Linked DNA regions of Canis lupus familiaris. Each later gene encodes a partner of the first gene's protein in a complex. Links are inferred from orthologs where the notes say so. Each region holds a gene or a part of one and is shown on either strand. Other genes may lie near its edges.

Region 1 (3,756 bases):
GACACGCTGCCCCGAAGGCGGGAGTCGGGAGCAGCGCAGGTCCGGCGCCTCCTGGTTCACACTCCGACACGTGGGCTTCCTCTGCTCGCTCCGGCGGCGAGAGGCCGCGAGACGGGGCGGCCCCACCGAGGTATTTCCTGTCAGTCCCAGGCGCGGGCCATGCGGTCACAGGATTTCGGCAGTTTTTAAAAATCGAGGGGGGACGTTATCGTGCTGTCATAATCCGGTGATATGCAGGTCGGTTTTTTTTTTTTTTTTCTTTTTTTCCTTTCGGCATTTCCACCACGGAAGTACTAGCACGCTAGTAAGGGGCCGAACCTCGGGGAAACTTAAGCCCAGGGCCTTTTAGCTGTACCGGTGGAAACGACTCAGCCGGTTCAGGGGTCATTAATTCTGAAATGTGTTAGCAGCGGGCTCAAAGCAGCTCTCCCCCTTTAGGAACACGTACACGATCTTGCCGGCGAAGGGCCCGGCCTTCGCGACGCGAGAGGAACCGACGCCTCTGAGCGCCGAGTCCACGACGAGCTCACGCCCCGAGATGACTCCGCATTTAAACTCTGCCCGGAGTCCGAGCGCTCCGGGGGCCGGAAGCGGGGCCACGTGACCGGTCCGCCTCCGCAGCCATTGCTAACGAGGCAGCCGCCAGCGCCCCTTCTGTATTTCCTCGCTTCTCCAAGCGCAGGGAGACGCAGAAACACCTGACAAGAGTTGGCTGCCAGGTAGCTTTGGACTTGAGGGTCAACACCACTCATGCTATGTCCAGCGATACTTTGCAAGCCCCTCAGCCTAAAACAGCTGTGGGGCACTTCCGCCTGGGTGGCAACCAGGTGATCACGCGAGACTTGGGGAGCCGGCCGGACGACTCGACTACCCCAGTCCCCGCGCTCCGCCAGCCCAGCACCCTCCGCTGCGCGTGACGACGCGGCCCACGGCGGCCTCCGCCCCGGCGCGCCTGCGCACGCGGCTCTCGCGGTGTCTCGCGCTCAGCCCCGCCCACCTCTGCCCCCGCCCTTTCCGCCCCTCCCTCCCCCTCCGCCCTGTCTCTCGGCGGCAGCGGCGGCGGCGGCGGCTCGCGCAGCTCGTTGGCTCACTATATAAAGGGGAGAAGCGGGCGGACCGGACGGCTGGAGCTGCAGCCGGTGGCGGCAGCGGCGGCGCGGGGAGCGGCGACCGGTGGTGGTTTCCCTCCTTGGCGCGGGGTGGGGAGCGGGCAACGCCCCCCCGGACCCCAGAAGGGTCGTGGCTTTTTTTTTTTTTTTTTTTTTTTTTTTTTTTTTTTTTTAAGGGCGATTCTCGAGGTTTTTAGCTCGGGGAGGACTGCCCCCCTCCTCCTCTTCCTCCTCCTCCTCCTCTCACCGCTCCCCTTCTACTCTTTCAGGATTCGATTTTGTTTGAAATTTTTACCCCCAATCTTGCGGTGGCTTGGGCCACCCTCCGGGTGTTTTGGTTTTCTTTTTTTTCTTTTTGGTTTTTTGTTTTTAATCTTGTTTTCTCGGGGTTGCCCCCCCTCTTGTTTGTGTTGTGTGTGGAAATGGCGAACTCGGCAAATACAAACACCGTGGTAAGGACGTGGTTTGGTGGCCGGCGGGGGCTTCGTCCGGGCGGCAGCAACGGCCGGACCGGGCGGGGGCGGGGACGGCGGCGACTCCCGGCCTCTACTCTCCTCAGCCGCCCGCGCGGCCGCCGCCGCCGCCGCCGCCGCCGCTTCCCGCCTCGGGCGGAGCGGGCCGGGGCGGCGGGCGCGGGGGGGGCGGGGGGAGGGCGCCTCGGGCTGGCGGCGGCGGCGGCGGCGGCGGCGGCGGCGGGAGGAGGGCGGGGGCGCCGGCGGGGCCTGGGGCCGCCGCGGGGCGGTCGGGGCCGCGCAGGCCGTTGGGCCGGGGCGAGCGCGCGGCTCCGGCCGCAGACCCCGGCCGCCGGGAGGGCGGGCGGGCGGGCGTGAAGCCTCCGCTTCCCCCCCTGCGCCCCCCCCGGGGGCCCGGCCGCGCCGGCTCGACACGGGCGCCCCGAGCAGCCTCCACAGACAAAACCCGCGTCTGGGGAATCGGGCGAGTCCCCAGGACCCGCCGTGTGGCCCACTTCAGTGCAGTGGAAGGCGAACGGCTACTTTGGGGGTTACTTGGGATGTTTCTGGCGGTTGTGCTTATTAGGGGGAGCCTTCACTGAGGCCATTTTATATTTCTTAAAAAAAAAAAAAAAAAGGAAAAAGGAAAGAAAAGGACGAAGGTTGAAAAGCACTTATCTCGGTTCCTTCCGAATCGGTAAAATGGCGAAGGGGAAGCAACACCCCCCCCCCCCATCGTATCTTCCACTAGCAAAAGCACCAAAGCAAACAAACAAACAAACAAACAAACAAAAAAGCCTACAGTGGTCCCAGCGCCCCTGCTTTCGCCTTGAAATTTGCCTACGTCTCCCCCCCGCCCCCCCCCCGTTTGTCCCTTTTTGGTTACTTGCGATCACGTAGGTTTGCAAAAAGCAGTCACATAAAAACAACCTTGTCCGTCACCAACGCCAATGCGATCACTAGTCCACCCCACTCTTATTTTTATTCTGACCGTAAAAACACGTTTTTGTTTTTGTTTTTTTGTTGTTTTTTTGTTTTGTTTTTTTTCCCGGTCCCAAACGCCGCAGACGAGCCCGCGGCCGCCCGACTCCGTACCGTTGGCGACTCGGGTCGATCCATCATGGCTGCGGCCGCTTACCCTGCTTTTGAGTCCCTGAGCCTTGTGGTCCTCCTCCCTTTGGCTGCCCTGTTTATATAGAGCCATTGCCGCTCTCTAATATAGACTCTGCCAGGATGGGAAGGTGCTTTTCAGGCCTACGTCACCGCCTCTCCATTTAAACACTAGATCCGGCTTTAAATAGTGAGAGCTGCTGAGAGCGGGGCTGGGAGGTGCGTGCTCCCGAGGCGAGAGGCAGGAGCGAGCCGAGCGCCCGGTTTATATCTAGGTCCTTCAGCTGCCACTGGGATTTCGCGCCCGACGGGGCCGCTTTCGGAGGGGGGGGGGGGTCCCCAAGTTTTTTTGTTTGTTTGTTTTGACGCAGCAGCTAGGGTTTCCTGCCTTTGTTGAGGGGGCGGGGGGGGGGGGAACGCAGAATTGCTGTCCCTTCTTATATTTTTATCTTTGCTTTTAAAGAGGATTGTAGCTCAGAGGTCTGTGGTCATTTTTGTATTGGGAAATGCGTTATTGTTGGGCATTTAAAGAAAACGACAACAGAAACACCGCTTCCTACATTAACTCTGAGCTGCAGGGTACTTGATGACTCTGATAGTGTTTCGTCCATCGAGTATTCAGAAAATGTGTTAGAAATAAAGCTCCTATATGCCATTGTTTTTCTGTAATGTTAGACACAAAGCTTTTTTGAAGATAAAGTGCCTAAAGCTTCAACGTGTGGACCTTATGTCCACAGTGCATCTATTGTATGTAGGGAAATTGTGAGTAATGAGAGGGGAGGCTTAGTGCAAACTGGATTTTTAAAATATTAAAATTCGAAGTTGACGTTGTCTTTTGATTTCATTGGATATTAACGTTCAAGATAGAAGTTAATTTGGTTTATTTTTCCAGTATTCTGCCTCCCCGGGGTGGGGTGTGGGGGGACTGACACTTTGGAAAGGAACCTCTTAATTAATCATGAGATTAGTGGCTCTTTAATTTACCTTTTTTTAAGTTTGGAATACCTGTGTTTTGAAAGCCAAGAAAAACCTAAATTACTTTGTATTTTGTAAAAGGCAAACATTTTGATTCAAATAAGGTTTAG
Region 2 (2,167 bases), on another chromosome or scaffold:
GTTCACTGGTCTGTGCAGCAGCCGCCTGTTCAGCATCACTGGTAAGAACCCCCACCACTTACCCTCCCTCCAGGTCACCTATGAAATGTAGAACAGACACCTAGCTCCTCCACCTGTTCCTATACCCACCAAATCTGCTCTTCCTATTCTCTTCATAGTAGCATCCCAAGCCAGGATCTAAAAGCCTCCATCCAAAGCTTCCACAAAAATGATGAACATTTCCAGGCTGTGCAAGTGACTCATTCAAATCAACGTGATCTGACTTCCTAAGAGACTGGAAGTGTTGCAAGGACACAAGCGGGGCTCCTTGCCAATTCAAAATTCTATGCCAAATGGGTGGTATCTTCCGGGGCTGGGGTGCCCTCAAGAGCCAAAAGCACAGTACTCTCTCTCCCAGATAGAAAATCACATTGGAGGATAAATATTGGGGATAGTAAACCAAGAGGCTGAGACAACCCTAAACCCAGATACCAGGAAGCCAGAATAGATTCTACATTGACATGTGATCACCTGGCTGTGGGCCAGAAATAGAATATACCACAGGCAAATTGGGAAAAAAAATGATTTTAGGGTAATGGAAAAGATTTTTTTTTAAAGGTGGAGAAAAGAGTCTGAAAAAGCAAAGTTTAATTAAAAAATCATATACACAAAACAACTTCTGATTCGTTTTAAGCTCTCCCACTGGGTCTTTCACAGGCAAGTTTCCCATTGAGTCCAGATCACCTAAAGATGTACCCCCAGAGAACAGTCAGCCAGCCCTTTCTGACCAGGTGGTCAACAGTAACTGCTTCTCAGGCTCGAAAGGATGTCCAAGGCCTGAGTGACTGAACAGCAAGGTTGGCTTCCTGGGTGTTTCAGAATGCCAGTTTCTTCATCAGCAGATAAACTCTGGAATCCACTTCAAATCCATGCAGGTTGTTGGCATCACCCTGCAGCCTCATGAGCAGGCCACCATAGGACACATAGGCAGAGCTGAAATGGAAGTCCCATGAGTTTAAGCTCTGGAGCAGCAGCAACCCAGTCGCTCTCCATCCCAGCTTAAGAAAAAGAGACACCCTTCTAGTGTTTTGTCATTAGGAACCAAAATTCAGACAAAGATGAATGCACAGATATGTGCAAAGTAGTGTTCTTTTTATCAACAAAAGTGGAAAATGCTACATGCCCAAAATAACAGAAATGGTCAAACGAATTAAGGTATATCCATTTACTGGAATGTTATGCAGCTATTAAATTGTTTAAGGAAAGCTTTAAACTGACACATGGAAACCTGTTTTATATAACTTGAAGGCAAATGAGCAGAAGAAAACATTGTAACAAACAACGTGATCTCAAGGAAAAAAGTACACAGGAAAAAACCTGGAATATTCAAAAATGTTTGTGTAAAAGGTTCCCAATGGGTATAGAATTATAGGTGACTTTTCTCGCTTCTTCAGATTACTTCTCTGCTTTTCCAATTTCTTACAAAGGGAACATACTGTTTTAATAAAATTTTAAAGAAGAGAAAAGAATAGTTGGGCAAGGAAACCAAAGAACTAGGGATTGGATTACAGAGTAGGGAAACACACACACAAATAAACAAATACCAAAATACCTAGCAGTTTAATCACTTAATGCTGCATTTAGTTCCTGGGGAAGCAACCTTCCTTTGCACTTCCCATATCAAGATCATCAGTTTCTCATTTGGACCCCTGAGCCCTGAGGTCCTGACAAAGGGCCAAGCGAGCAGCCTACATTTCGGATTGGAAACTGTTCCAGAACAGACAGTTTCCTTCTAAGTCCTACCTAGGTCTGAGGTGCTTGGGGAGAGACCCAACCCAGGAAACATGAAGCATGGCCCAAATTTTCAGAGCAGAGCTCAGATTATCTGAATAGGGCTGGGGGACAAGGGTTCTCACAAGACTATGGAACTTACAGACGCGTTGCTGCTTCAGTAGAAGTTTCGTCGCCCTCAATTCTGTATACTTTCCCATACATTACATACTCAAACTGGTCAGCCCTGTGGAACAGTAGGAGCAAGGTTATTCTTCAAAGTAGTAAACAAAAGTAAGAAGCTCTTTAAAAATGGTTAACTGGAAAAAAAAAATGGTTAACTGGTAACTAAGTGTCACCATTCTAACAGACGTTTTCCAAACACAATGCCATTTAGTCCTCCCAGCAACCATATGAG

What was found. Proteins that work in one complex are often made in the same cells at the same time.
Region 2: GTF2A1 (region 1) and POLR2H share a complex: the UniProt entries of both Homo sapiens proteins name them as parts of the TBP-based Pol II pre-initiation complex. The link is inferred for Canis lupus familiaris from reciprocal best matches to the Homo sapiens genes GTF2A1 and POLR2H.

What each region holds. Positions count from the first base shown.
Region 1 is NC_049229.1:53,872,617-53,876,372, reverse strand, and holds the start of GTF2A1 (transcription initiation factor IIA subunit 1), read left to right. Parts: upstream 1-1,325; 5' UTR 1,326-1,531; coding exon 1,532-1,561; intron 1,562-2,871; exon of another isoform or gene 2,872-2,890; intron 2,891-3,756. UniProt on the Homo sapiens protein: TFIIA is a component of the transcription machinery of RNA polymerase II and plays an important role in transcriptional activation. TFIIA in a complex with TBP mediates transcriptional activity.
Region 2 is NC_049255.1:17,412,763-17,414,929, reverse strand, and holds the end of POLR2H (DNA-directed RNA polymerases I, II, and III subunit RPABC3), read right to left. Parts: intron 1,997-2,167; coding exon 1,913-1,996; intron 973-1,912; coding exon 855-972; 3' UTR 610-854; downstream 1-609. UniProt on the Homo sapiens protein: DNA-dependent RNA polymerase catalyzes the transcription of DNA into RNA using the four ribonucleoside triphosphates as substrates.